3 linked regions of the Diceros bicornis minor genome follow. The protein of the gene in region 1 interacts with the protein of each later gene in a pairwise test. Links are inferred from orthologs where the notes say so. Each region holds a gene or a part of one and is shown in the gene's direction. Other genes may lie near its edges.

What was found.
Region 2: the proteins of CSDE1 (region 1) and HID1 interact in binary tests that used the Homo sapiens proteins (3 or more experiments, as listed by UniProt). The two-hybrid records come from large-scale screens. The link is inferred for Diceros bicornis minor from reciprocal best matches to the Homo sapiens genes CSDE1 and HID1.
Region 3: the proteins of CSDE1 (region 1) and C31H11orf68 interact in a two-hybrid assay, tested with the Homo sapiens proteins (2 studies listed by BioGRID and IntAct). The link is inferred for Diceros bicornis minor from reciprocal best matches to the Homo sapiens genes CSDE1 and C11orf68.

What each region holds. Positions count from the first base shown.
Region 1 is NC_080743.1:47,397,165-47,407,778, reverse strand, and holds the start of CSDE1 (cold shock domain-containing protein E1), read left to right. Parts: upstream 1-6,117; 5' UTR 6,118-6,202; intron 6,203-6,274; exon of another isoform or gene 6,275-6,298; intron 6,299-10,614. UniProt on the Homo sapiens protein: RNA-binding protein involved in translationally coupled mRNA turnover.
Region 2 is NC_080757.1:55,537,300-55,547,146, reverse strand, and holds the start of HID1 (protein HID1), read left to right. Parts: upstream 1-5,344; 5' UTR 5,345-5,454; coding exon 5,455-5,520; intron 5,521-9,847. UniProt on the Homo sapiens protein: May play an important role in the development of cancers in a broad range of tissues.
Region 3 is NC_080770.1:7,365,433-7,375,645, forward strand, and holds C31H11orf68 (UPF0696 protein C11orf68 homolog), read left to right. Parts: upstream 1-5,566; 5' UTR 5,567-5,581; coding exon 5,582-5,703; intron 5,704-5,764; exon of another isoform or gene 5,765-6,111; intron 6,112-6,402; coding exon 6,403-7,159; 3' UTR 7,160-7,806; downstream 7,807-10,213. Other genes in the region: DRAP1 (dr1-associated corepressor), read right to left, coding at 3,114-3,219, 3,591-3,679, 3,917-4,031, 4,129-4,248, 4,564-4,657, 4,769-4,841, 5,079-5,120.

The sequences.
Region 1 (10,614 bases):
AAAGGAGGCAGAACCTTCAGAGCTTTGATGAACTACAATTCACTCAACATTTTATCTAGCCTCCTAGAAATACATGTGGAATTGACGGAAATGAATTTCTGTATGTTACTGATCGTAAGATTCATTTTTCTTTCCTGTTTTAACATCTCTGAAATTGGGATATGTCTTATGCATGCAGGGGTTGTGGTGTGGTTGATTCTAAGCATAAGCACTGTTTGCATTCCTAGTGGCATGACTGGGCAAAGGCAAGCTCTTGATATTTCTGTCAATAAACTAAGGACCATTTGAGAAAGGAATACGGGTTTAGCTGTTTTCTGTGAATTTTCCATCAACACCTTCTTGTAAGATCAAGAAAGTGCCAGCATAAGAACCTGGAGTATGGCTGTATTAGTTTTCTATTGTATAACAAGTTACCACAAATTTAGCAGTTTAAAGCAACACCCATTTGTTATCTTACAGTTCTGTAGGTCAGAAGTCCATGCAGGGCTCATCTGATTAGGTTAGGCCCAACCAGAATAATCTCCCTCTTGATTAACCCAACTGATTAGAGATCTTAATTACATCTGCAGTAATCCCTTTGCCATAAAGAGATATGAGTGACACCCTCTAATATCCACAGGTCCAGCTCATGCTTAAAAGGAGGGGATTATACAAGGCATTTACACAAGGTGGTGGGAATCTTGGTGGTCATCTTAGAATTCTGCCTATCGCAATGGCTTTTAGCAGCTTGAAATAGAATCCTGGAGATAACAATGATGCATTCTTAGGAAATGCTGCATTACCAGTATTCTTTGTGGCCCAAGAATAATTCTGTGTGGAAAAACCTGCACATCTATGAGCTAAAAGGAGATTCAGCAAGATCCACCAATGTATGCTAAAATTAGTGGACTAAAGTTTAAACAGAAAAAAGATACTTGCATAGTCTCTGTGTTAGTTTCCTAGGGTTGCCATAACAAATTACCACAAACTGGATGGCTTTAAACAACAGAAATTTATTCTCTCAGTTCTGGAAGCTAGACATTTGAAATCAAGGTGTTGGCAAGGTTTGTTCCTTCTGGAGGCTCTCAGGGAGAATGTATTCCATGCTGCTCTTCTAGCTCTGGCAGTTCTTGGCATTCCTTGACTTCTAGATGCATCACTGCAATCTCTGCCTCAGTCTTCACATGGTGTTCTCCTTGTATGTCTCTGTCTGTGTCCAAATTTCCCTCTTCTAAGGACATTAGTTGTTGGATTAGGGTTTACCCTACTCCAGTATGACTTCATTTTAACTTGATTACATCTGCAAAGACCTTATTTCCAGATAAGCTCCCATTCTGAGGTTGCAGGTAGACATGACTTTTGAGAGACAATATTCAATCAAGTATGGTCCCAAAGTATCTCCCCCCAAATATTTAGTAATTATAAAGGGAAAAATAGTAATTTTACTATGAAGAATCCTGGAGGACACCACTTTAAGCAATTAAGTTAAACATCACTAATAATACACTTCAACATCATCTACCCCCTGATATGATGCAATGAGAAGGGTACATCACCTGTCACATTCTTACAAATAATGCATAACCTCAATCTAATCAAGGGAAACAGACAAAACCAAATTGAGGGATGTTTACAAAATAACTGACCAATACTGTTCCAAAGCTTCCAGGTCATGAAAGACAAGGAAAGACTGAGGAACTGTCACAGAGTGAAGGAGACTAAGGACATATAACAACTAAATGCAGCGTGGGATTCTGGATTTGATTCTGGAAGAGAAAATGGATATTAGAGAAAAAACTGGTGAACCCCAAATTAACTTTGTAATTTAGTTAATATTATTGTGTCAATGTTAACTTCCTAGTTTTGAAAATTGTTCTATGGTTAGGTAAGATTAACATAATGGGAAACTGAGTGAAGGGTTTATGGGAACTCTCTGTACTATTTTTCTAATTCTTTTGTAAGTCTAAAATTATCTCAAAACAAATATGCATTCCCCTGATTATTAATGCTGCTGAGTATAATTTCAAATGTTTATTTGCCTGTACAGGTTTTAATATAGACATTCAAGTGGTTTCCCCCATTTTTCTTTTCTTTGACTTTTTATTGATATGTATTAATTTAGTATATATTCGTGATACTAATACATTGTCAGTTTTATATGTTGCAAATATGTATTCTCCTAGTCTGTTGTTTTTTATTTATTTTTTTTGCTGCCTCTTGATGAATGGAATTTTTTAAATATGGTCAAATTTATTACTGAAAAGAAAGATGGTGATAGTGGTTCTTTTACTTTAGAAATACTTTAGAAATATCTTTTGTCAGGTGGTAACATTTGAGCTGAAACCTGAATGATGAGAAAGTGCCATATATGTGATGATTTGGGGAAAGAGCATTCCATGCAGAGGCAATAGTAAATGCAAGGGTTCTGAAGTAGGAACAAACTTGCAGTGTTGGAAGAACCAAAAGGGCAGTGGAATTGAGTCACAGTGAACCAGGGGCTAGAGACTTAGTGGGGACTAGGTCATTTAGGGCCTTGTGGGTCATGGTAAAAGAGTTTGGATTTTATTCTAAGTGCAATTGGTTTGCATCGACATCTAATTTAAGTTTATTAAAATATTCTTTTGCTCCACCCTTCCCTCCGGCTGAATCGTAGAACTAAAATGTTATGGTGATTACGTAGCATGTCCACATAATTCTTCCATTAAATGCAATGTTGATATTTTAAAGGAACGCATACAAAGCTTTTGCATTATTCTTATTTAAATAATATTTTAGGGGCCAGCCCGGTGGCGCAAGCGGTTAAGTGCGCGCCCTCCGCTGCGGCGGCCCGGGGTTCGCTGGTTCGGATCCCAGGGCCCACTGACGCGCTGCTTGGTAAGCCATGCTGTGGCAGCGTCCCATATAAAGTGGAGGAAGATAGGCACAGATGTTAGCCCAGGGCCGTCTTCCTCAGCAAAAAAAGAGGAGGATTGGCGGATGTTAGCTCAGGGCTGATCTCCTCACAAAAAATAAATAAATAAATTAATTAATTAATTAAAAAAAGGTAAAAAAAATAATAATAATATTTTATTACATAATTATTCTTATTATATTATTCTTATTTATATAATGCATTTTAACTGTTTGAGGGCTTGTAATGCAAAAAAGTTGTAGATTGTAGGGTTCTAGGACTAAATCTTAATTTTTTACATTCTACGGAAATAATTATTCTTTATAAAAGTTTGCTCTAAATTGTGTTTTCCTGTTCTGAAATCTTGAATGTAGATCCCTTTAACATCCACTATTACCATAATTTTATAAAAGAAGTTCTCTTTAACTTCCCTAAATAGGAAGGATCTAATATCAGAGAAAAAACAGTCCTTAAAATCTTGAATAAATTTAGCCTTGTTTTTAAAAAAATCTCTACATTGACCTAATTTTTCTCATTTGACAGAGAACTGACAAAAATCTTATCCATCACTGCTCAAGATAACCTTATAAATGTGTAAAGGATGCTTGCTTTTGATTCTCAAAAAGACTCCAGAGAAATGTGCTTATTGATCATTGTAGAGAAAAAAAAACACACAACCATAATCAATTTCATTGTCTATTTAAGTTTCTCAGAGAAGAAAAATAAGAATGATAAATAACCAAAAATAATATATACAATTTTTTTGTTCTGATGGTTATTCCTTAATAGACTAAATATCTTCCCAAAATCCATGACTACCCTGTTGTATAGAAGATGGTTTCCCAAATCACTTCACAAGTTTCTGCTTTAATTAACTTCAGTTTAAAAAAAATAAACATAGGGGCTGCCCCCATGGTGCAGCCTTTAAGTGCACGCGCTCCGTTGCTGGCGACCCGGGGTTTGGATCCAGGGCTTGCACCGATGCACTGCTTGTCAGTCCATGCTGTGGCGGTGTCCCATATAAAAAAGGGAGGAAGATGGGCACAGATGTTAGCCCAGGGCCAGTCTTCCTCGGCAAAAAGAGGAGGATTGGCATGGATGTTAGCTCAGGGCTGATCTTCCTCACAAAAAAAAAAAAAAAAAAAAACATAAAAAGATATCTACAGTGTTTTGTTTTTTTATTTGACTTCAAAATTAATCTGAAAAAGATTATTGCCTTAAAATGTAGTGATCTAAAAATGAAACCTACCTCTAATTATGAGTACTTGTAGAAATAAATCATTTAAACCAGTGATTTAAATCAAATTACTCCATCTTTTACTTTCTTTAATGCACTGGAAGCTAAAACGTATGCTTCTGGGTTTGTACATATTTGCATTTTGTGCTAAATGTAAATTGATACTAATTATGGATTAAGAAGGAATTTAAAGGCAATTGAGACATTCAGAATGAGGATGATAAAATGGTTATCTGATTTAAAAAGGTCTTTAGAAGCTATGTGTAATGGTAGAAATCAAGACTATTCTTTCTTATTAATAGGAACTGTATTTATAGAATTTAGTGAGACTACCATTTCTTACATTTCCCATTGCTGTGATATTTGAGAATGTGTGCTCTTAGACCTAATTCTACTTTTAGCCCAGCTTCACATGACCTTGTTTCTAGTGCAAGAGCCCAGGGCAGTTTCTCTGTGACAGCAGATTAGAACATGCAGACTAGATCTTAAATTCTCACTTGGACAAAGGAAACAAAACAGCTGGTTTGATATGTTTACATTCTGTACTTCTCCAACAGAACATTCCTATTTCTAACAACTTCTTACACTGTTGTTCAGTGCTATTCATTCAACAAGCTTTTGAGCGTTGTGTATGCCAGGCACTGTTTGGAACCAGGGATGCAAAGATGAATGTCACAGACCCTGCCCTAAAGTATCACTAGCTAGTGTAAACTAATAATTACAATAGAGTGAGCTGTTAAAGCATTGAAAGTGAAGCAAGTATCCGTGCCTAGGAAAGCGTGGGAAGGCATCAAAGAGAACAAACAGGCAGCTTGGAGGTGGTATGGGACTGGACCAAAAGCAACAGAGGTGGAAAGAAACTCGAACATCAGAAGAGGATACTGCCTCCTCTTAGAAGTCAAGACGATTTGCTCAGAATTGGAGGTTATATAGTCTCTTAACACTGTGCACCCTTCCTTCATTGCACTTATTTCAATGTGTATGTTTAGATTTGTTTTTGTGATTATTGAATGATGCTAGACTGAAAGTTCCTTGAGGACAGAACCGTGTCCGTTTGTCTTAACCAGTGTATACACCCCAGCATGACACACAGGAGATGCTGAATAAATATGTGTTCAAAGCGAAAATTAAGTGGATGGGAGAGTTCTCAGGAGCATGACTGGTCATTATTTATCCAATACTATCAAGTAAGAGAGCCAGAGAATCTGACAAAAGCATTCCTCTCACCAGAGGGGACTACTCTATTGTTTGGCAACGGATAATTCATTGAACTTTTCTGTGGCTAGAATTAACCACTTTCTTCCTTTCCTCTTATAAGCCCCGTTGGATGAATCATTCATTTGCCCTGATTTCAACCTTTTGGTTACTGATTCAGCCTCTTTGATTACCTGATACACTATGAATATCTTCTGGTAACTAGAAAGGTCAGCTGAAGGAGTTCGTTTTCGGGTTTTTTTTTTTTTTTTTTATGATTATGCTGCCTTGCTCACTGTTGTCCGTCTGCTGCAAGCAATATAGTCTCTGGGAGACACACTTAAGACTTCCAAATTACCCTGCTAAAAACCTGACTCTATACTAATGAAAATTCCAGTCTAATGGAGCAGACAAGGGAAAGACAGCGTGCGCTGTGAGAAGAAACTGGGTTTGGGAGCTTCTGGATTACCGCTGGGAAAAGAGAAAATCCTTTCTATGACATTCCTAAATATGCCCTCCAAATTGTTCGCCCTCAAGATTTACCCTGGTCTCGCCGCTTAAAGCAAATGCAGGTTTGCAAAGATCAGTGACGCCAAAGTCACCCGCCGCCCCGCCCCTTGCGTCCCAGCGGAGTCAGTAAACACCGACCTTGCTTCCGCAGCTCACAAGGGAGTGAAAAGTAGAGGAACGTACCCACCTTCCCGGTTGTGGTTAAGCGCAGCGCGCTGGTTGGCGTCACTCAACCCTCGTGCGCAAGCGTATTAGGAGTCCACCACCCCCCCGCCCCTTTCCTGTGCACGCGCTTGGAGCTCGCAACTCTCGCGAGAGAAGCGAGATTTATTCCTACGTACCGGGCCGTGCTGCTTATGGCGGCGCTGGAGAGGGGGCGCTGAGCTGTTGGGGTGAGTACGACCTCAGGGTGCAATTGGGGGTAGCAAGAAGCCAGACTAAGGGCGAATGAGAAGACCAAGACTAACGGGAGAGACTTCTGAGTCAAGGTGGGCACTCCTAGAGCTTCGGGTAGGAAACATCTCACCCTGAGTCCCTACCCTGGACTTTTCCACTCAGTCCCCGCTCAACTGCTTAGGCCTCACGTCAGGCCGCAGAGCCGAAGCGAAAAGTCGAGGCTGGCGGCCGCGTGTCGCGGTGGTGGTGGTGACTAAAGTGGGGGGAGGGAGCAAAAATGGAGGCTCCGACCGCAGCCAAGATGGAGGCAGGGGTGCGGGGCTCGGGCGCCGAGGCTGCTGGGAGTTGTAGTCTGGCTGCTTCCTCCTTTGCGGCTTGGCGGGGGAAACGGGAACTACAAGTCCCGGCGGGCGGGGCGAGGGGGTGGTGGCGCGGTCCTTTGTGTGAGGGTGGAAGAGGCAGAGGAGAGGGGCCTACTCTGACTTTGGACCCTATAGTTTCCTGTCCGTCACCTGCTTGGGGATCTGACTACGAGTACCAGAGCGCAGTGCGGTAGTGGCACCTCCTTTGTGTATAGGCAGACCCGGTTTCATCTAAGGGCTTAGAGACACGGCCTTTCCCTGGCCGCATCTGACACAGCGCGGCTGAATTGTCATCCTTACTTGCACTCACCTAAAGCTGCCTGTTTTGGGTGTCTACACCCAACCTTCCCTTTTTCGCCTCCCCTTGGTCTTGAGAAAGGGAACCAGCGCCTAATCTTAGGCATGTAGCTCTCACTCATCTGTCCTGGGGTTAGGGCGTGCTCTGAGAGCTAAGTGAAGTTCTCCTTACCACCTTCTCTGCCTCTTATGGTGTAAGAGCCTGGCCCACATTGTGCAATGAACGACTTGGCTTCGTCATTCTCTGTGGAGTTACTTTTTTAGAGCCCTGGTCCGAGATACTGTTGAGATTTTTACCATCCGATGTTTTATCAGTACGAAATCTTAGTACCACTGTTCTTTGGCTTTAAGATTTTCCTTTAGAAACACCCAGCTGGCTCCTCTCTCGACTCGCAAGTGAGGCAGGGAACGCTCCCTAAAACAGCCTTCAATCTGCAAACATAAAAATCTGAACGTTGTTGTGCGAGGTAATTTCCTTGTTTTGCACCTAAATTGAGTGAAAGGATGTGATCCTCTTTACAGTTAAGAGGACTGGGTGGAGAGGGAGGGAGGATGGTCAAAGGCACTGTGGTAGTTAAATCTGTTTCCTTTGAGAGGCTTAGTTTTTTATCAGGATGGTATGAACTGGCAGCTCTCAGCCAGAGCTACCAGTCGATAAAATCAAATAGTAGGTATCAAATTATAGCCCACTGATAGAAGTTATTCTATATCAAAACGCTGAGTAATTTTCATTTGGAGTTTCCAGAAGGCAAGCATTCTCGATACTAATTGACTACATTGAGGGGCAGTATAATAATACCTTAGTGTCCTTTTGGTACTAATACTAACCAATAATGGGTGTTCTTGGTGTGGGTAAGGAGGGGTTTTATATACATGCTTGAAAAGGCATATGCCTGAGTCAAAAAGTCTAGATAAATATTTCAACCTTGTTTCTTTTTGTTTCCTTTTAGCCCTAGGCCCGAAATAAAAGAGATGGTAGTGGTTTGAGTGATTTTGCAGCTGCTCTGGATGTTTACCATCGAGATGAGTATTTATAGCAGCTGAGTTGAAAAGTAAAGTATTTGAGGCGCAGAAGATAGGTTTTCTTTTTTTGTAAATAAGTTCTGACTTAACAGGTATGACTTTTAGAGTGTGGTTGAAAATTCTGGTAAATTTCTAGCAAATCAAAAATAAGAGTGTGAAAGCTGACATGTAGTCCTGCTTTATCCCACTCCTGTTTCCCTGCCTCCATCTGAAGACACACAGTGCAGGGCCATCCAACATTTTAAAAAATCTTTCTTTTAAATTGTGGTACATAAAATTTACCATTTTTAACTTGTTTTAAGTGTACGGTTCAGTGGCATTAAGTTCATTCACATTGTTGTGAAGACCATACTTTTGAGATGGTAGTTGAAACGTGAAAATGCTGTGGACATATTTTTAAGGAGTTGAATTTTAGGACTGTAAATAAATAAAAATCTTGATTTTGTTAAATAAACACAAAGAATTAATATGCCTTCATAGCTTTGTCTTTTCAAAAAACAAAGGGGAAACTACTTTGAGATCTTGGACTCAAACTGTCTTATGGAGAGCTGTAAAACTTTTAGGATTAATAGAGAATTAGAGTAAGAAGAATTATAACTATATTTTCTAAGGCTTAATAGCTAGAATTCACTGGTGAAACTGCTGTAGTGGGAGTGACTTGGTTTCTTGAATCCCATCATTTCTTGCTGTAAAATCCCTTCTGCCAAATCAAGATTTTAAAAAATTCCTGTCTTGATATTAGAATGTTTTCCACTTGCATGTGAGTACCTGGTTAAAAAAGAAAACAATACAAAACTTTTTTTCAGTTCATAACACCAAGCCTTAGGAATTCTTACATGTTTATACTGTGCTACATTTTTCATTAAACTAGGTATGGTATTCTAAGTATTCTGTTCAGAAGTATTGAATGGTAATTTTATTTTGGGGTCATTTTTATATTTAATAGGTTCTTTTATGCTGAGGTAAAACATTAGTGGGTAGTTGAAAATAAATTTATCAGCAGTTTCTTTACATTGAACACGTAGGCTAGCAGCTACAGCCAGTACATAACCAGTTAGTTATTTGAACTTCTGCTTCTCAAATGTAGTAAGTACAAGCTCCAGCTATAGTCAAGTGTGCTAGATACTGCCTCCTTTTATCAGTGCAAGTCTTTCCCCAAGGGCCTTATATTTACTATGCTTTATTGAGCATGCGTTTTTTCCTCATCAGTCTGTACCTGCTCCAGCCAATATGGTAGCCACTAGACATGTGTGGCTGTTGTGCGCTTGAACTGTGCACAATTCTGAATTGAAATGTGCTGTAATTGTAAGGTAAACATTGGATTTCAAGGAATGTAAAAAATCTCAATTTTTTTAGATTGAATACATGTGGAAAATGATAACATTTTGGGTATATTTGGTTAAATAAGATAACTTAATTAAAATTAGTTTCACCTGTATCTTTTCACTTTACTATGATTACTAGAAAATTGTAAAGTACATATATGGCTTGCACTGTGTTTCTTTTGGACAGTGCTAGTCTATACTATTCTCTGATTTTGTGTCTAGAGCATTTCTTCAGCTTCTTCCCACACTGGCATTTGTCCTATTTCAAAGTATTAGTGTGTGTAAACGCACTTAAGTGATGGATGGATATATAATTTTAAATATCTTAGTAGCTGTTCAGGTAATTAACAGCCCAGCACAATTGTTATTACTAAACATATACAAAAAGTTGCAGCAATTTGCTTTTCTTTTGCTTTTCTTTTATTTCTGCTCAACATGGCGATGGCTTAAATGGTTTCAAGTTGGTTAATTATCAAACTTTTATCATTTTCCTTAGATCCTAGAGTAAAAGTGAATTAAAACCTGTGAAGCACTTCAGTTATATGGGTTAAAGCAAAATGTGATATATTTGCCTCGAGTTAATGCATCAAGAAATAGGAACTAGGATGTTAAGGCAAGGATATTATTCATATAAATCAACAATAAAGAGAGAACCATTTCAGTTCCATGCTGCCTTTCTGGGTCTTTGCTCTTCTCAAAGGAAGAAGGTACTCTCTGAGGAAAGTGGGTTAAGTGGGGAGACTTTTGTAGACTGGTTTAGCCTTTCATTAACATTCTCCCCAAGTGAGTGCTGTACAAACTTTGAGAATAATTTATCAAAATGATAAAATGGAATATGTAATACATTTTAGATGGATTACTGACTACATAAATGTATTAGTTCAACATGTAGTAGTAATTTAGTGCCTACTTACACCTGACTTCTGCTACGCCTTTGAGATGAAGCGGCGAACTGGAGGAAGACAGTAAATAAAACAGGTGATGATAATTTTGAGACAGGTGAAATAAGGAGTAGCTATTTGGATCAGTTCAAGTAAAGGAATTAGCTTTAACTCCTAAAACAGCATGACTTAATAGTTGATAATTAATGGTGATACTGTTTCCATACAGAGTAAAGGAAAAAAGAGTTGATTACTTCGCAATCAGAGAGACTTTGAGATCCACGTTTAAATCGTTCCTTAGTTTTTTGATTGGTACTCTGTATTTCATCTGACTTTAAAAGTGTCTAGCTTTTGGGAAGATGGAGGGGATGCACTTACATTCAGAGGGTTAAGACAAAAGAAGTTGTCGGTACCATCCATGAATGTTAATAATCTTGGCTTGAGTAGATAGTCAATTTTATTAAAATGCCTAATCCTCGGTACCTTTTAGGTAATTCATTAGGTGTTGAATTGATTGAAA
Region 2 (9,847 bases), on another chromosome or scaffold:
GCATCAAGGGTGACACTGGATTTCTGGCTTGAGCACCTGGAAGATATTTACTGAGATGAGGAGACTTAGAGACAAAGGTCAGGAGAGAGAAGGGCTGGGCTTGGGAGGAGGAAGTGTGGAGAACAGAATCACCCACAATGTGGTAGTTTTAAACACGGCACCAACTTCTTTGACACTTCTCCCATGGGGAGGTGGGTATATGTCCCCTTCCTTTGAATCCAGTGGGCTTATGATTGCTTTGACCAATAGACTAGGGTGGAAGTAACTTTATGTGTTATTCCCAGGCTCCATACCAAGGGGCCATGCAGCTTCCTCCTCTTTCTCTCAGGACACTCTCTTCGTGCACCCTTTGGGACGCTGCCTCAGAGCCCAGCGTCCTTGCTGGGAGAGGCCCAAGCCACATGCAGAGGCCCCATGTTGGTGCTTCCGTCTTCAGCTCCAGCTGAGCCCAGCCTCCAAGTCCTCCCAACCCAGGCGCCAGATATAAGTGAAGACGCCTCCAGGTGAGTCCAGCTCCCAGCTGTTCCAAGTTAACCCCTCCCCCAGCCATTCTAGTCTTCCCAGCTGAGACCCCAGACATCGTGGAGCAGACACAAGCCACCTCAGCTGAGTCCTGTCTGAATTACCAACCATGGAATTTACGATAAAATGGTTATTGGGCCCGCCCCATGGCTTAGAGGTTAAGTGCACGCGCTCTGCTGCTGGCGGCCTGGGTTCAGATCCCGGGCGCGCGCCGACGCACCGCTTCTCCGGCCATGCTGAGGCCGAGTCCCACATACGGCAACTAGAAGGATGTGCAGCTATGACATACGACTGTATACTGGGGCTTTGGGGGAAAATAAATAAATAAAATTATTAAAAAAAATGGTTATTGTTTCATACTAAGTTTGGTGGGGAGGTTGTTACACAGCAATAGTACCTAGAACACACATCAAACCGACAACCAAATTCCAAGATTCCACCTCGCCAACATCACCTGCATCCTTCCTTTCCATCCCACCCATGACTGCCTCGGTTCAGCCCTCATCATCTCTCACCTCCCAGCTGGATTCCCAGTGTTCAGGTCACTGCGTCTTCCCTGTCACGGCTAGAATGACTTTGTTAAGACATAATGATATTCGACAACATTATTCCCCTGCTTCAAAGGCTCCTCATTGCTCATAGAATAAGATAAAATCTCCTTAAACAGCATGTATTCTGTCCTTTATGGTCTGGTCCTAGCACACCTCTCAAGCTTTATCTCTGATTCTCTACGTGTCACCCTAGCTAGGTGTTTCTGTTCTCTGGACGTACCAAGCTTCTGGGCCTTCCTTCCGCTTGCTCCCCCTACCTGGATGTTGGACATGTTCCATTTGCCCTTTCAGATCGCTTTCCATCTTCTCCATCTGCTCCGCGCCCAGGAGGCTGAAGCTTTTGTGGGCTGCATCAATGGGCTCCCTTGCTCTCTTGCTGTCTGTGGGCCCACTGATGGGAAGTATCAGCAGAAAATCGGGGGGCAGGAGAAGAGTGGAGGTGGGGTATCTACCCCACAGCTCCCTCCCTTCCAGACCCCACCGGCTCTCTCCTACCCGGCTCTTTTTCTCCGGGTTCTGGCAACCATTCCTCCCCTTGCGCCTTCAGGCTTAAGGATGGCTGAGGCTCCCCGCGGCTTCTAGCCCCAGAGTGCTTCACAGCCCTTGTTGGTTTCCCTTCTCCTTGATTAAACTCTCTTTAGTTGCTGTGTCTGAATCTTCCATCTCTTTCCTGTTGGGACCCTGACTGATACTCTCAGTCATCCTCCAAACCTCAGTGCAGCCTCCCCTACTCTGTCCAGTCTTTCCTCCCGTGTTCCCACCATGGCCCTGGACAGACTCACTCGCACCCTCAACCCCATAACTCTCTTGCCTGTGTCGTTGCCCTATATGTCTCCCTCATTCTCAGCAGTAGGAACTTGCCTTTCTAGCTCAGGTCCTAGCACTGTGCAAGGTACCTGGCCCTTGGTAGGTGCTGAGTCAATGTTTGTTGCATGATTGGTGGTTGAACTCAGAAAAAAGGGCTCCAGGGAGGGCCATGGGAGCCACGGACTGGCGACTCTTCCTTTATGCTGGGCATAAAAGGAGGACACAGCATAGTTTCCATATGGTAAATCATAGCTAAAAACCTACTAGGAAATCATCAAAGTAATAAGGGATAAGTAATTTCTTTAAACTTTCAAAAGCTATATTTTACTACTAATTTTTTTTTTGTATATATCCAGTCTTTTTCCTTAAAAATTTTTACTATAAAAGTTTTCAAGTGCAGGGGGCCGGCCCGGTGGCACAGCAGTTAAGTTTGTGCATTCCACTTTGGTGGCCCTGGGTTTGCAGGTTTGGATCCTGGGCATGGGCATGTTCACCGCTCATCAAGCCATGTTGAGGCGGCGGTCTACATAGAACTAGAAGGACCTACAACTAGGATATACAACTATGTACTGGGGCTTTGGGGAGAAAAAAGAAAAAGAGGAAGATTAGCAACAAATGTTAGCTCAGGGCCAATCTTCCTCAAAAAAAAAAAAAGCATTTACCTTTAAAAAAAAAAAGTTTTCAAGTGCACACAAAAGTAGAGAGAATAGTACAATGAATCTGCACATACCCAATGCAGATTCAACAGTTACCAGGATTCTGCCACATTTGCTTCATCTCGCCTGTATGTCTTTTTCTTGTTTTCTTTGCTGTAGTATTTTAAAGCAAATCCCAGTCATTAGGCCATTTTCCCTCTACACACTTCAGTATGCCTCACCGAAAAATAACTAACAGCATTTTGAAAACATCATTTGTGAATCAGGGAGGATGTTAAGTTTAACTTAGAGACAGTAAACAAATGGTGGGGATAAATGGGTATTTTTCCACCTAGAAGTGTTAGTGGTCACATTCCTCAAGACAATGTTAATATTTTTTCCCTACTATGGTGGAGAGAGGGCACAGGGATCTTGTAAGATTTCCTGGAGACGGACACTAAGATTTTCCGAGGAGCTGAATGCCCAATGAATGGGAGCAGACCTCTTGAGGTTGGATGAGGATGAATGGACTCGTTTAAATTCATCCCATGAAAGCTGATGGAAAGCAAGGTCCATGAGGGACCGGTAATATTTTGGGACCACTTGGAGTTTCTGGTTGCAAATCACAGAAATGGCTATGAGTGATGGGCAAGAACAAAGGGCTCAGAATTACTCCTTTGGAATGGCCAGTTAGCACCTGCTCTTGGTTTTTGTTTTTTTCCAAAGTCAAGTTTATTGAGCTATAATTTACATACAGTAAAATTCACCCATTTTAGGTATACTGTTACATGAGCTTTGACAAACATATAGTTATGGAACTACTACTGCAATCAAAACACAGAATGTTTTCATCACCCCAAACAGTTTCCTCGTACCCTTTCATAATCCATCCCCTCATCTTGATCCCAGCCCATGGCCACCACTGACCTGTTTCCTGCCCCATTGTTTTGCCTTTTCCAGAATATCACATAAATGATAAAATACAGTATGTTGCCTTCTGTGTCTGGCACAATGCTTTTGAGATTCATTCACACTGTTGCTGCGTATATCAATAGTTTCTTCCTTTTTGTTGCTGAGTATTAGTCCTCTTGTATGGATGAACCACAATCTGTTTATTTACCAGATGATGGACATTTGGGTTGTTTCCAGTTTTTGGTGATTATGAATGAAATTGCTATAAGCATTACACAGGCTTTCTGTGTGGATATATGTCTTCATTTCTCCTGGGTAAATACCACGAGTGGGATTACTGAGTCATATGGTAATTGTATATTTAACTTCATAAGAAAGTATAAATGCTCCCCGTCCTTGCCAGTATCTGGTACTTTCAGGTTTTATTTTTTTTAACCCATTCTAATAGGTATGTAATGGTTATCATTTTGTGGTTTGAATTTGCATCTCCCTAATGTTTAAGATTCAGAGTTTTTAATGTCACTCTGGGTTGGACTGGGGTTGGGTGATTTGTAGAGTGTTGGATTTTTTGTTTTTTAATGCCAAATAAAAGTACTATTCATTCGTTATCTCAGAGTGATTAGAGAAGCCATGGAGCCTGCCCAGGATTTCATCCAGGGCAGGGAAAACCTACCTCTGGAGCAAGGACAGAGCTCCTTTGGTGACGTGGTGAAATCTCTGTCCCCCTCTTCCCTACCTCTACACCTGTCCTACCCTGCCTTTGTGCCACCCTTTTGCTGCCTAGATGGTGCACGCTTCATTTTTCACCTGTGGAATTCCTATTGAAGCTAAATGTCAAGTACTTTTGAAGCATCTAGGATTTCCAGAAGCTTCCAGACATAGTATGCAAGATGATGTTGTGGGAAAAGTGCAGCCTCTTTTGGGGCCAGAGTTAGATTTGCCTTTTGGGCTTTGTTCCTTACTAGTTGTGTGACTTTGGACAAATAACCTAACTGTTTTGAGCTTCAGGTTCCCCGAGTGTAAGATGGGGATAATACCTACCTCAGAGGTATTGCCGTCACATAATAATAATAATAATAATAATTATATTATTATTAATTAGCCTCTATCAAAGGCTCACTGGGTTGAATCATGGCTGATTCTTTCCTTGTTTCTCTCCATAGCTAATTGCTTGTAAAGGGCAGGCCCTGTGACTTAAGCCCCCTAGGCCCCCAGTCTCTGACACAGCGCTGGTGAATACCAGTCCCTCAACACATGTGTTGAAATGGATGGACCTAAAAGGATTCTCAGGGAAGGCAGGCGGCCAGAAAGGAGTTGTAGGACGCGGAGGGACCTTCCGTTCTCATCAGGCCAGGGAGCCGCTTTCCTGGAGCAGGGGCCCTGAGTCAGCGCCTCCCTTCCACAGAAAGGAGGGCTGAGCCCGGGGCTTGTGGCTGGAATAACAGCGAGGCTGCCTGGACATGTGGGTTTGACTGGTCAGAAAAAGGGAAACCAAGAGAGCAGATGCTCAGAAGAAAAAAAAAAAAAAGAATGAGGAGGACAGGCATTGACAAGGAGGGAGAGGGCTGGCTGAGAAGCTGCGGGCCCAGCGATGGTCGGGAGGAAGGGTGAGGATAGGGGCAAGGGGCGGGAGGGTGGGGGGATTGCCGGCCCTGGGGGCTGGGTGGAAATGGAAGGGATGGAGCGGAGGCAAAGCTCCGACACAGGAGGAAGGGCACGGAGCCACCGGGTCCGGCCGAGAAGGGCGGGGGGGTGCCCTGCTGCCTTGACGCGAGCTGCAGACTCCCGCGCAGGGAGTGGACTGGGCGGGGCGCGGCAGGTGCGGAGGGCGGAGCCACGCGGGGGCGGGGCCAGGAGGGCGGGGCCGACGCTGGGCCGGCGGGCGGGGTGCGCCGCTCTGCTCATGCGAGAGCAGCGGGGACCTCGGAGCTGGAGCTGCAGCTGGAGCTGGAGCTGGAGCTGGAGCTGGAGCTGGATCCCGAGCCCGGGCTGGGGCGGGGGTCGGGGCCGGAGCGGGCTCCAACGATATGGGGTCGGCCGACTCCAAGCTGAACTTCCGAAAGGCGGTGATCCAGCTCACCACCAAGACGCAGGTGCGCCCGGGGCCCCGGCTTCCTCACCCACCTGCCGGGCTGGGGGCTGGGCAGGGCCGGGGGGCTGCGCCAACTTGGCTTGTCCGGTCTTGGAGGGACCGGCTGGCCCCAGGGTGACGCTGAAGCCAGGGCCGGAGCGGGAGCCCTTGGCCTGTATCCCAGGGCTCCATCCCCTAGCCCCCCACCCCCAGCCTCCTCTCCCGGGAACATCCCTCTCCCCGCAGCCGCTGCTGCCACCTTAGGCCGACGTGTGCCTACTCCCTGAGCCAACGTCGCTGCTGTCCGCCCTCTGTCCTGCACGCCCCCCTCTGCCCCTTAAGCCTCGCATCTCCAGCCTTCCCCGCCCCCACTCACCCAGCCACCTCCCTGTCCCTCTCTCTGCCCCTCTGTGCCCGCTGGTCCGGGACGCACAGACCCGGCTGACTCAATGCAAACAAAGCCGGGACAGCGCCCGCCTGGGTCCGGGAAACAGCTGGTACGCGGCGGCAGCGGCCTGTCTGGGCCCAGGTTGATGCCCACAGCCAGAGAAGGCCCAGGTCTTCCTGGGTACATGCAAAGAGTGGGGGACAGCACTGCAGCCTGGCAAGGGGACTTGTTCTTAGGCCCATGGAGTCCAGTTTCCCAGATGGGGACCACTGCTCCAGGAGGCTCCTTCTCTGTGGTCCAGCGGTGGGGATGGCTGTGTTTGTGGGTACCCTCTCTTCTCCAGGTCAGGGCTAAGAACCCTCCAGTTTGCCCTTGACTGGCTGGTGTGGGGTTTAGGGGTGTCTTTAAGCCTAATCCATGCTTGCACATCCCCTTCAGTCCACAAGTGGCACAGAGGCTACTTCTTTGCCCCCAACACACAGGACATGGCCCCAGCAGGGCTGCTTCCCTGCCCACCCCTTCTCTCCTCACCCCTTGAACCAGGCCGCTCTGGCCTGGGAGATGCCCAGCCCTGACTCCCTGGATCCCTCACTTCCAAGGGAGTCAGGACCTGCTGTCATCTGGGACCTTCCTCTTACCACTCCCCACCCCCACCCCCACCACCCCCAGCTCCCTTTGCTCTTGACAGTTAGAGTGGGGTTGAGGGAGCCATCTCCCCACAGCCAGCTGGTCATAGCTTCAGAGGCCAGACCACACTCTCTCCTTCCCACGAGAGATACCCAAATGCCCAGGGCCTCTGCTGAGTCCAGCCCCGGCTGAGAGGCGTTTCATAGAAACCAGATGTTGCTTCTCGCCACTTCCCCCATGGCTCCTGGTTAGTTCTGGCACTTGGCTTTCTTTGGACTTCTAGGTCTGTGGGTGGCAGGTGGGCCAGCTCTCAATGTGGAGCCACAGGAGAGGAGGGAGGGGAGGCTCCCAGGTTTACCTACTTGGGGAGGGAAACACCTTGTTAGTGAAATGAGCTATGGGCTGTTGGCTCAGCAGCCAGGGTCCTTTGCTGGGCCAGCAGGACTAGCTCAGCTGAGTCGCAAAAGGTCTGGGTGGACTAGATTCCTCCCTGCTCCAGCCCCCTCCCCAAAATACAGTGTGCCTCTGTCTTTCCCTGGCTGCAGTCCTATGACAGAGCTGACTGAGACAGTGCTGTCCCATTTCCCAGCTGAGGACAATGAGTTGGTTTGGGACAGGACTGGAGCCAGAGACCAGCCTGGATCTCCCTCCGGAGAGCACTGGGGCCCTGCAGGTGGGAGGGGGCCTGGGCTGCCTGGAGAGAGAGACTCTCAGGGGCTGAAGCCTTGGGCTCTGTGTAGTGGGCAACTGTGTAGTGCTCTGGCTCGGGCAACTTGGAAGTGACCACCAGATCCCAGATGGTCATTCCAGACCTTACCACTTGCTGTCCCCAAGGAGAATGAGGCCAGTTGTCCCCAGGGTGTCCTCCAATCCCAGGCCCTCAGAGGCTGTGCTGTGAACACAGATTTTTGCTCTGGGCAGCAGAGAAGCCAACCCAGCACCTTTTCCCGTGGCCTGGGCCTGAGCTGCCACTGCTCGGCCTTCCCCGCCTTCCTGCTCTGCATCCTGTTTTCTTCCTGCCCTGGACTAGGCCTGACCCTGGTCCTGAGGGCCAGCAGCTTTGACTGTGTTTCCTGAGCATTTCTCAGGGTGGGTGGGGCTCTGGAGGGGGTACATTCCTGGACCTGGGCCCCTCTCCTCCATGCTGCCTGTTTGGAGATTCTCTGCCCTGGGCCAGAGGAGGCCTGGTGGTCCCTGTTTACATTACATGTGCACGTGTATGTGTGTGTGAATGCTGTGGTGACACGGTCCTCCAGAACAGGTCACCCTTAGCAGGCTAGAGCACTGCTAGTCCTTCCCTCCTCTCCCCAGAGAGGTTCAAAAGATGCAGCTGGTCCCCCAGGCTGGTGGGGGGGTCTGGACTGAGCGTATCCTGCAAAGCTGGGGTAAGCATATCTGAGTTTTCCCTGGGGATAGCTCAGTCCCTATGCCCCTGGCAGCATGGGCCTGCCGCCTCCAGCAAAAATACTCTTTTCAAAGAAACTGGCTTAGATTTTGGAAACTTCCTTGGGTTGGGTGGAGCCCAGCTGGGGTAACTGAGGCAGGAACTAAGCCATGTCCCTCCCCTCAGAAGCCTAAGGGGCTCCAGTGACCCTGGCCAATACCTGTAGCATCAGACTAGCCTGGTATGGTCAGGTAATGGTCACCAAATTGAAGTGTGGAGCCACAGTGGGACCAGGAGGGGAGGCCCGAGTTCGGGGTGAGGGAGGTGAAAGTCGCCATTCTTGAAGTTCAAGGCCAGCTCCCATAGCAGGGATTTTCCTCTGCTTCCTGGCTGGGCTAACCTGGTCCCACTAAGTTCCCTCCTAAGTCTCTGTCCTCGTTTCAAATTCAGTCCCTAGGTGACACTTGCCTGATGAACTAGGTTCGAGGTCAAGTCTACTTGGTGCTCGGTCAAGTTTCTGCCCCTTTAAGGGGATAGTGGCTACCTGGGAGGTGGGGAAAGTATCAGAGATGAGAGCTTCCCAGGGTTGGGGGGGCTCTGCGTGTTTTCTGGGATGTCCTTCCCCACCCCAGCCCCCCACACTGGGTGTGGTACCCCTGGACCCAGTGAGTGTTGAAGGCTGTCCTGGCTGTGGGCCTGAGGGCCAGCAAACCCCAGCCCCAGGGCCCCTCCTTTGGCCTTTGTTCCTTTCCCCCTGCTAACTGGCTCTACCAGTTCTGGGACTGAGCAGGCCCTGGTGCCAGGCCTGTGCTGCGGGCCATGGCCACGTGCTGCCTGTAGCTCGGAGGGGGCATTGCTTGGGGAGTGGGCCAGGGTGTACCTGGGCCTTAGTGAGGCTTTCGGCCCCAGCCTTACGCACCTCACTGGTGCTCAGCCCTGCCCAGTGACCAGGCTGAAGGGGTCTCTAGGATTAATTACAGCCTATAGCTGAACAAACATTGGCTGAGCATCTGCCGTATGTCTTTTTTTTTTTTTAAATAATTTTATTTATTTATTTATTTTTTCCCCCAAAGCCCCAGTAGATAGTTGTATGTCATAGTTGCACATCCTTCTAGTTGCTGTATGTGGGACGCGGCCTCAGCATGGCCTGAGAAGCGGTGCATCCGTGCGCCCGGGATCCGAACCCGGGCCGCCAGTAGCGGAGCGCGTGTACTTAACCGCTAAGCCACGGGGCCGGCCCTGCCGTATGTCTTAACTGCAAGGTCAGGGCAGAGGGGCTGGTGGACTAATGGGGCCTGGAGGCAAGTGCGCTGACCCTTGGAGCCAGGGGCTACGATGATTGACTGAGTGGGGTGGAGAGTAGGGTTCTAAGCCCGGCAATCCAGAGCTCTGGGAAACTTCTTTGAAGAAGTAGCTTCAGAGAACAGAATTATTTTTTAACAAGATATGTATTTTTTTCTGATGATAAGAGTAGTGCACGTTATGTGTGGATTTGTGGTGGTAGCAGGCCCTGTTATCAGGCCTTTCAGAGAAGGGAGAAGGCTGGGTTGATTGGAGCAAGCTGGGTAGGTCTCTTGCAGAAAGTGCTATTCAGAAGGGTAACAGTGCCTCGGACACCCTGGCCCCTCAACAGATGAACATTCAAAGAAAAAAAATAGTACTACATGCGCTTACAGAAAAATATAAAGAAAAAGAAAACTACTGGGAGAGATAATTGCTGTTAACATGCTGTCATTTTCTTCTCGGCTTTTGTTACTATGTAATTTACACAGAATTGTGATCATCCTATAGTTAGTTTTATATCTTGTCTTTTTCACATAGCATTTTACTGTGAGCATTTTCGATTCATTAATATTCTTTGAAAATGTGCTTCTGATAGCTGCATAATATTCCAGCGCATGAATGTGCCTTACTTTTTAAGCATTCCCGATTGTTGGTTATTTAGGTTGA
Region 3 (10,213 bases), on another chromosome or scaffold:
GCATGCATCTTAAGTGTGCAGCTTAATACATTTTTATATACAACCACCACCCAGTTCAAGCTGTGGAACACTTCCAGAAGGCTGCTTCCCAGTCAACTCCCACCCCGAGGTAACCATTATACTGAATTCCATCACCATCGATTAATTTCACCTGTCCCTGAACTTGATTTAAATGAATTACGTCACGGTGTGTGCTCTTTGTGTTTGGCTTCGTTTGCTCAACATAAGGTCTCCAAGATTCACCCACGATGTTGCGTGTAACAGTGGTTCGCCCTTTTTCATTGTTCTGTTGTACAATACCCTACCATTTATTCGTGCTCTTGTTGACAGGCATTTGGGTTGTTTCCAGTGGGAGGCTGTGGCCATTCTTGTACGTGTCTTTTGGTGGACGTATGCCTAGGAGCAGCACTGCTGTGTCACAGGGAAGTACGTGTTAATAGACTCAAGGAGAAACCGCCCCACTGTTTTCTAACACGGTTGCACCTCGTGACGTTCCCACCAGCACTGAGGTCTGGCCTTGCCACCTCCTCTCCGCACTTGGCGATCTCAGACTTTTTCATTTCAGGCTTCTGGTGGGTGATTGTGGCAACTCATTTCCCTGCTGAGGGACGATGTTGGGTGCCCAATAAGCATTTGCTGAATGAATCCTTAGGGGGACTATGGAGGGAGACTCTCCTCTTGGCAGGGATGGGTGGGCCCATACCCTTCACCTGAAGGTCTCAGTCTCTGGATGCTACACTGGCCTCAGAAGCTGCTTCCCATTCTACCCACTGGTCACACTTACACCCCAGGGTACAGCCAAGGCCAGGCTGAGGCATTCAGACAGGACCTGGCCCGAGGCTCAAGGCTCCTCAGTGGATAGAGAATAAACAAAGAAAACCTTCTGGTTCCCAGGTAGAGCTCTGCAGATGGGGTACTGACAGGCTTCCCTCCCGGTGCCCAGTGGTGCCCACGGGCAGGGCAGAACCATCTTTCCCGACTCCCAGGAAGCACCCAGGGGCCTGGCCCAGCCAGAAGCACCGTCTCCCTGGGGCCCCTAACCTCTGACTCAGGAGGCTGCACTCCTAACACTTGGTGAAAGCTGGGTCAGGTCCTCCCTAACGGCCTATGAGGTCCTATGGCCGAAACTGGCTGGTCGGTCACTCAGGTTGGCTAGAGGACCTTCCCCAGCCTCCCTCAGGTGGGTCCTGTGGCAGTTCCAGTGGGAGGTGAACAAAGGTGATGGGGCCACTTCTAGTCCTGGCCCAGAAAAACCTCCATAGGCTCTGAGCTTTCCCCTTCCTCAGTGATCCTGAAAGTCATAGGTTGAGGATGGTGGAGCCACAAGATGGAAGGAGCCTGGGCCCTGGCGTCCCTCTTGCAGAAGCACCACCCACTAATCAGATAAATCCCAATATAAACCTTATATGAGCAAGAAAATTCCTCTGCACTTGAGCCTAAACAGTTTGAGTTTTACATCAGGCCCTTGCCTTAACTAATAGGTATAACTAGTATATACAGCATAGCATGTATAACTATAGGTAATAACTAGTCCCATTTACAGATGGAAAAACTGAGACATCGAGAAGCTACAGAACTTGTTTGAGGCCAGTAAGTGCAGAAGCTAGGATTTAAACCCGGGGCCTGGCTCCAGAAGTTCCACTCGTAAGCACCCTGCCAAGGGTGAGCCAACAGGCTGAGAATGCAGAGGCAGAGGCCAGGGGCTCCTGGGCATCTCCCACCCCCACCCACACCTCCTCGAGCCTCTGCCTAGATGAAAGGGGCTACTCCCTGCACCGTGGCCTCCTGGCCTTCCCCAATCGTCCTCCTCACTCTCACCCAGCCTCCTCACTCTGAACCTTCTCAGTTCAGGATCTCACCCTTTGGACAGAGCCCAGCAACAGGCTCCCAGGCTCTCTTCCTCTCTTACCCCAGCTCCTCACCCCCACTAGCATGCCCTCAGCTCTGTGGACCCCAGGAGTCTGCCTCCCCTGGGACTGCACACGACTTGCTGCTAGAGAAAACTACCTCCCGCTTCCGGGCCGATGGGAACCCCTCCCATTCACGGTCCCTGTCAGCCGCAGCTTCTTCAGTTACCAGTGACAGAAACCCAACTGGCTTCCGGCAGGGAAAAATGTTTATTGGCTCACAGGACTAAGAAGTCTGAGGTATACAGGCTTCCGGCAAGACCGGGTCCAGGTGTTCAGATGTCACCAGAAATCTGGGCCTCTGAGCCTCCTGGCTCCGCTGTGCTGGTTTTGTTCGCAGTCAGGATCACCACTTGTGGCTTCCAGTTGCGTCTGGCCTACATTCCACCAGCTTCGCTACCCAGTGTGGCAGCCATCATCCTTGCTTGGACTCCTAGAGGGTCCCTGCTGCCACCCGAGCCATGGGAAAGCCAGCAACCTTGTCAAAACCGGTCCCCAAAGGTCCCACCTTAAGTCCCAGGGCTTGAGCGTCCTGGCTGATTAGCCGGCTGGAATCACAACCCACCTGCACCACTCACAGTGGCCACAGCCGGTGTGGTGCTGTGTCACTGCTCTCTCGTGAGCCAGCCTTCAAGGCCCTCCACAATCTCGCCCACCTCTGCTCCCAGTGCCCCTTCTCACACCCTTCGTGGCACCTGGCCCAAGTTCTAGTTTTCAAGACCTGTTCTGTTACCTGTCGCATCTATCCCTCTGCAGCAGCCTAGCAGGGACAGAATGGTCTCCATCAGAGAGATGCGAGGAGGCTGCTCAGAGAAGGGTAGGAACCTGCCCAGGGTCACACAGCACGATGAAACAGGTTGTCTCCCGGCATAATGGGTACCTGCTGGCTCAGGCCCTACACCACCCTGCCCGCCTTCCTTCCCTCAGCACCACTGGGCCTGCCCTGGCATAACTGTGACGTAAAGCCCCTCCCTTCACTCTGCTGCTGCCTGGCCCACCACCACTCCTGGCCCCAGCTCAGTGTGGAGAAGGCAGGTGAAAAGATGGCAAGGTGGCCACAAAGCCCTAGACAGAGGCTGGGACAAACACTGGCATTCCCTTTTATTTCTTTTTTTTAATAAATTTAAGAACAGTTCTACCTTCTCTCTTCCCCCCAGAACAACCAAAACCAACTAAAAAGGGGTGTGGCCTGGGGGGCAGAGGGCGCTAGGAGTCATAATCCTCTTCATCCTCTGCATCAGGTGCTGAGGGGCCTGGGGGCACTGGGGGCAGAGGCAGAGTTGAGGCAAAGGGCATGAAGGGTGTCGGGGGGCTGCTAGGCAGAAAACAGGAGAGGAAGGTCAGGCCACTGCTCATTCCTGACCCCTAAGCCACCCCCTGCCCTCCACACGGGCAGCATGGAGCCCACCGCCCTCGGTACCAATAGGGAGCCAAGCCCAGAGAAGGGAAGGGCCCAAAGCAGGTCACACAGTCCCTGCCCAGGCCCCATCCACTGCCCCGCCCAAGAGTGGAAGGGACCTTCGGAGAGCACAGTCTCCTACCTTTAAGCCCTCCTCAGTTTCTCCCTTCCCATGCCCCAAATCTGCCACAACCAATAGATCCAAGTGGTCATGGAGGCCAGGAGGGACAAGTCAGCCTTGGGGAGTCTGCTGGCCCTTTCCTGGCGCCCACTGAGCTGCTTACCTCTGTAAGTGGGCGGGGGGGTGGCTGGCCTGGGGTGGGGCCTGCGGTGTGTCCTCTTCCCCATCGGTGTCTGTGTCCTCAGACTCATCCTGGTAGCAAGGTAGGGATGAGAAGTGACATGAAAGGCATGGACTCATCACTGGAAAGCACAAACCCCTGAGAGTAGCAGGGACAGGAGGGTGACCTCCATAGTCCCAATTTATAAACAACAAAACCAAGGTACAAAGAGATAAGAGGTGAGGATGGAACCAGGCTCCAGCCAGCCCGGCCTGAGACAAGCCTGCCCTCTGCACACTACGAGACAGAGGGCTGGGGGCCTCACTCACCTCCTGCTCCGAGTCTGTCCCCGACAGCTTCTTATCCTTGCCTTTGCTTCCCATCCCACCGTTCTTCCGGCCACTGCTGCCTGGCTTCCGGCCCCTTCGAGAAGGTACAGTCCATCTGCCCAGAGGTCACCCCCCCATTCATCACCCCCCAGCCACCCCCAACCCTGGTGGCCTTGGCCTTCTCCACCTGCACACTGGCCCTCGGTCCCCACCTGCGGGCACTCTTGTCCCCATCCATGTGGTTGTCTTCCCCGTCCCCCTGCATGTCAGGCACAGATGCCACCAGGTCCTTTAAGAAGTCAAACTGCTGCTCCAGCTCAATGCACTGTTTCCTGGAAGAGATGGGGAGGGGATGACACTCAGGTGGGGCCCAGATGTCTGGGTCCTCAGCAAGGGACAGTAAGAGGCTCTGGATGTCAGGAGAACAGAGCCTGGAAAGCCTCCACCCCATCTCCACCACCCGACCTCCCCCGCTTTGCTGGAACACCCAACTCCTCCTCCCCCAGTTCAAACCCACCAGTCTTGGAGGCCTGGCTGGTTTCCCAGCAGCCTCCCACCTCCCTCACTATAAGAACGCAGCCGCCCCTAACTGTGTGAACTCCTGGGGCACGGCCCCACTCAGCCCTCTCAGCTCCGCAGCCACTCACAGGTGGGATGTGGTCATGGTCTTGGCATTTCGGGACTGGGTCACCTGGCAGGCCTTCTTCAATAGCGACTCCAGGAAGAGCTCGAGTGCCCGGGCTGAGGGGTGTCAAGGAGAACGCAGCTAGGGGGGTCCCCAGCCCACACAGGCGACCCCGGGCTGCCTCCCTCTCCCACGTCCCTCAACCCAACCAGCCCCCAACAGGATACAGATGATGACAGGCACAGCCGCCGCCACCTTCCCAATCTCTTCGTCTGTCTGCATGATCTTCTTGATCCGCGCCTGGGGAAGGGAGAGAGCTCGGACCCCGTGGCCTCCGACCCAGAAAGGGGTGCTGGGGGCGAGCGAGGGGGGTATCCCAGGAGAAGGGGGGAGGGGGGCACGGACGCGGGGAGGGCACGGAAGGGGGCGGGGCGTCCGGGCCCCCGAACAGCGCGAAGCGCCCGCCCCCCCAGCGGGGCCTGGGCACAAGCCTCACGAGAGCCCGGCCGCTCCTCCCGGGCCCGGCCACGTGCTCACCGGCGGGAACCGGGCGTTGTACTTCTTCTTCTTGCTCGGCATCTCGGGGACTCTCTCGCCGCGCCGGGCCCAGCGCCGCCGCCCGCAGCCTCCCGGCCCCGGGGCCTGCTCGCCGCCCGCCCGCCGCGGTTCCCCCGGGTCCTGGCGCCGCCTGCTCCGCCCCTGCCGCTCCCCACGGGGTCCTAGCGCCGCCAGTCAAGACGCCGCTCCCAGGGCTCGAGTGCCCTCCCCTTATAGCCTCCCGGGCGGTGCACGTCGGTCCGGGACAGGGCCGCCACTCCCACCCGCGCCCAAGGCCAGGAGAGCGAACGTTAGCCCCGCCCACGCAGGCCCGCCCCTCCCCGGGCTCCCTGACGGCCCCGCCCCCGGGGTCAGCCCCGCCCCCACCTGCCCCGCCCCTTCCCTCGTCGGCCCCGCCCCGCGGCGCGGCCGATCCGGCCCGGGGGCCCCGCCCCGCGCTGCGCTTGTCTATAAAGTTGTTGTTGAGGCGGCGAGGCGCTAAGATGGCGGCGGCGGCGGCAGCCGTGGCGGGGGCGGGGCGCGGCGGCGGCGGCGGCGCGGAGCCCCGGCAGGAGCGGAGCCGGGCCCGGGGCTGGGCCGGCGCCGAGCGCAGCGAAGGCCGGAGGTGACGGCTGGGCGGCGGGAGGGGGCAGGGCCGGGCGGGAGCGTAGCTCGGGCCGTGGGCGCTAATGGCGGCGGGCGCGGCTGGCCGGCGGCTGGCCCTCCCGCAGGTTCCCACCAGCCTGGGTTCGAGTCCGGGCACCGCCCCACTGGCCTCGGACCCGTCACAGCCCTTTCTGGGCTTCAATGTCCTGGTTTTTAAATAGGCCCGATGACACCCCCCCGGGAGGCCTGGCCCTGCAGGGCCTGCCCCAGTGCTGCGCGATTGCGCGCCTGTCTTCCTCCCTCCATTAAATCCCGGCGCTCGGGGACCTGCCAGTGACTGGCAGGGCCAGGAGGTGTGGCTGGGCCGGCTGCTTCCACACCTGAATGCACATTATGGCCCTGTCACTCTCTACAGGTGTGACCTTGGGTAAGTCCCTTCTCTCTGAGCTTCAGTTTCCTATCTGTAAGTCAGGGACAGTAGTGATAACATTAGCAACAACACTTACGTAGCTCGTGTTCCGCGTCAGGCATTTAATTCTCAACAGCTCTACAAGGCAGGAACAGTTGTTACTTATTTTAAAGATGAAGCAACAGAGGAACGGTGACATTAAGTCTTGCCCAAAGCCACACAGCTTAGTTTAGTGCCTAGCACCCTTCTAGGGCCCAGTAAGCTGTAGATCTGTCTTGGACCTGCCCTAACTCGGTTCCCTCGCTTCAGGATGGAGCCAGGTGAGGAGCTGGAGGAGGAGGACTCTCCAGGCGGCCGGGAGGATGGCTTCACTGCTGAGCATCTGGCCGCGGAGGCCATGGCAGCTGACATGGACCCCTGGTTGGTGTTTGATGCCCGCACCACACCTGCCTCAGAGCTGGATGCCTGGTTGGCCAAGTACCCGCCATCCCAAGTTACCCGCTATGGCGACCCTGGCTCGCCCAACTCGGAGCCCGTGGGCTGGATTGCAGCATATGGGCAGGGCTACGTCCCCAATTCAGGCGACGTGCAGGGCCTGCAGGCAGCCTGGGAAGCTCTGCAGACCAGCGGGCGGCCCATCACGCCAGGTACCCTGCGCCAGCTGGCCATCACCCACCACGTGCTCTCGGGCAAGTGGCTGATGCACCTGGCACCTGGCTTCAAGCTGGACCACGCCTGGGCCGGCATTGCCCGGGCCGTGGTCGAGGGCCGGCTTCAGGTGGCCAAGGTGAGCCCACGGGCCAGGGAGGGTGGGCGCCAGGTCATCTGTGTTTACACGGACGACTTCACGGACCGCTTGGGTGTGCTGGAGGCCGATGCAGCCATCCGTGCAGCAGGCATTAAGTGCCTGCTCACCTACAAGCCTGACGTCTACACCTACCTGGGCATCTACCGGGCCAACCGCTGGCACCTCTGCCCCACGCTCTATGAGAGCCGTTTCCAGCTGGGGGGCAGTGCCCGCGGCTCCCGTGTGCTGGACCGCGCCAACAACGTGGAACTGACCTAGTAGGGCCAAGTAGGGGAGACCACTCTCTGCCCTCCCTGCCAGGGATGGATCCTCCCGTCTTCCTTGTCCCAAGGAGGCCAAGTCCCCCAGCTCTGAGGACTAGGTCACTCGGGAACTGTCTGCATCTTCAATCCCCTTGAACTTCTGCCCTCTGTTCAGGGCTGACTCAAGTCCCCACCGGCTGGAGGCTCTGGCTCCCTGGAGGCTCTGGCTCCCTGAGGGCCGGACCCTCAGCCTCTCTTTTCGCTGCTGCTCCCCTCTGCCATCGAGGACCGCAGGCTGGGTGCAGACCCCCAGGAGGAGAGCCTTCCTTGGCTGCCCTCATCCCTGGCTGTACCTCCCCCCTCTCCTGCATCTTCCCCTTTTTCTCTTCCTCCCTCACAAGAGAAAAGACTTAGGGCTTCCAGTCTCTCTCCTTGGAGCCTTCACAGACCAGCAGGCAGAGGCCCTGCAGGCCTGAGCATGCCATTTTGTTGGGGGGATGAGTGTGCCCACTCAGCCCTGGGCAGAGAGAGAAGATGCCCGGGCCATGGACATGGGGCCTGTCCCTCCCTGCCCCCTCACAGCCTGCACCACCTTTCTCCCTTCCTTCACTACCTTGTCATGTGCCTGCTCCTGGCATTTCAATAAAACCCAGATTGGGTCTGTGTCTTGAGTGTTTTTTAAAATACTGTGTTGGTGGTTACTTGCTTTGGTTGCTGGAGAGACGCAGGGCCAGGAGAGACTGCCCCTTTGCTCTGATGGGGCCCCCCTAACATCCCCCAATAATAAGATACTCCTCACTGCCAAGCTTGAGAGGGGCTGGCCCCGTGGCTTAGCGGTTGAGTGCGCGTGCTCCGCTACTGGCAGCCCAGGTTCGGATCCCGGGCGCACACCGACCCACTGCTTGTTGGGCCATGCTGTGGCCGCGTTCCACATACGGCAACTAGCAGGATGTGCAACTATAAAATACAACTATCTCCTGGGGCTTTGGGGAGAAAAAGGGAAAAAAAAGGAGGAGGATCGGCAATAGATGTTAGCTGAGGGCTGGTCTTTCTCAGCAAAAAGAGGAGGACTGGCATGGATGTTAGCTCAGGGCTGATCTTCCTCACCAAAAAAAAAAAAAAAAAAGCCTGAGAACTTCTCTGAGAGCCTCTGCAAAGCCAGCCCTGCTTCCCCTCCATCCTAAGAATCAGAATCAGTTTCTCAGTGATTTCCCATAAATCCAGGGGCTCAACCCAGCAAAGTCCGAGGGGCCACTACTAACCTACAGGGTGTATTGGCGCCTGTTAGAGAAAGGTATCCTCTTGGTCTAGAAGTTCTGGGCCAGGGCACACGGTCTGGTGAGCAGCAGATAGGCTGGATTTCCGAAATCTAGGCTGGACATCCTTGTGCAGTGAACAACCTGCACAACCATAAGTGACCCTGGAAGCTTTCCTGTTTATACTCACCTCTCCCACCACCCTAATCATCACGGGCCACAGAACGTTTGCAAAGCACTTCCTTATGCATTATTTAATCACAACCTCTTTAAAAGGAGATGTTGGTCCCATTCTGTGGTCAAGGAAATTGAGGCCAAGAGGGGAAGGGAATTCCCTCAGAGTCGTGGTGAGTCGGGCAGAGCTAGGCCTTGCACCCCGGTCCCTGCCTCCTCCTCAGGCAGAGTGTGGTCCCTGGCTTCACCCACAGGGAGCTCCAGGCACATTCCCTCACGTGATCTCACTGGGCCACCCCGATCAGCTGAGGCTGCTGCAGCCTCGGAGCCTGGCTCTGCACCCCCCAACCCCGTGCCTGGCCCTGGCCTTGGTTGGAGGCCAGGGTGTCTGGCAGGGAGCCCCTTAGGACACTGCTCTCGTGCCGTGCCGGAGCTGACTCATCCTCCAGCAGCCTCACCAAATTGGAATTTGGAGCAGGGGAGCGGAGATGCCACTGGGCTGACTGGGTGGAAGTGGGTGAGTCATGAGATGCTGGCTCAGCCCCCTCCCCAGCTTCCTCCCCACCCTGAGCTTCCCCAGGGCTGAGTCCCCCCTAAACCCAGCCCTGGGAAGTCCCCAGAGCTGAGTGGTCTCCCCTTGGAGCCTGGTGCCCTGCCTCCCCCAGCCTGTCAGTGCTCTACACTTGACCAAAGTGCGCCAAGGCTTGTGGGGGATCCTGGGAAGGCCCTCATGGGTCCCCCAAAGATGCCCAAGGGGTGTCAACACCGCCTGGTTCTCCTTCCATAACTAAGCGTTTGACACGCTCATCCCTTCTCCAGCCTCATGGCCCTGCTTTAGCCCATTCCTCACTCTCTCTTCACCAAACCATTGCACTTGCCTGCTCTGCCCGCTTCCCCTCCCACTTCCCCCCTGTGCCCCCACAGCCAGCTCTCCCGCAGAGCTGCCTCTGTCCCTCTCCTACTCAAAGCCCTCCTGTGGCTCCCCACAGTCTGCAATAGAGTCTGCTTTCCTGAGCCAGCCATGACCTAGCCCCCTGCCGCTGCCCCGGCTTCCCGCAGGCGCCCCTTTCCACCCCTGCTCACCCTACGGGAGCCAACTGGTACTTCCTTCACCCTGGCACGCAGCCCCGGGCCTCAGGCCATTCCTTCTGCTTGAACACCTGCTGTGCAGCAAGGATGGGGAGGTTCCTTATGCAACCACTTGATTGATATCTGTCTCCCGCTGGCCCCTGAGCCGCATGCCCATGTGGCCTCAGTGAAGACAGGGACAATGTCTGGATCTCAGCCCTGTCCCCAGAGCCTAGCACAGTGCTTGGCTAGAGCCATCTCTCCATAAATTATTGAATGAATGAATGAATGAATGACTCAAATTCAGCCCCTGCCAGTCCTTCCGGCCCCATCTCCTCCATTTCCTGCTTTACCCTTCTTATTCCAGAATCAGGAGCTGCCTGAGGTTTTCTCGCACACGTGCTGGGCTTTGTCACTTTTGCGCCTTTGCTCATGCTGTCACCTCTGCTTGGTGTGCCTGACCCTCACCTGCTTTCCTGGCTGGCTCCACGTCTCAGACCCACTGGCTTGGGTGTCATCCTCTCAGAGGTTCTTCCTCCCCTATCCATCCTCAGCCCAGGCTCCATAACACC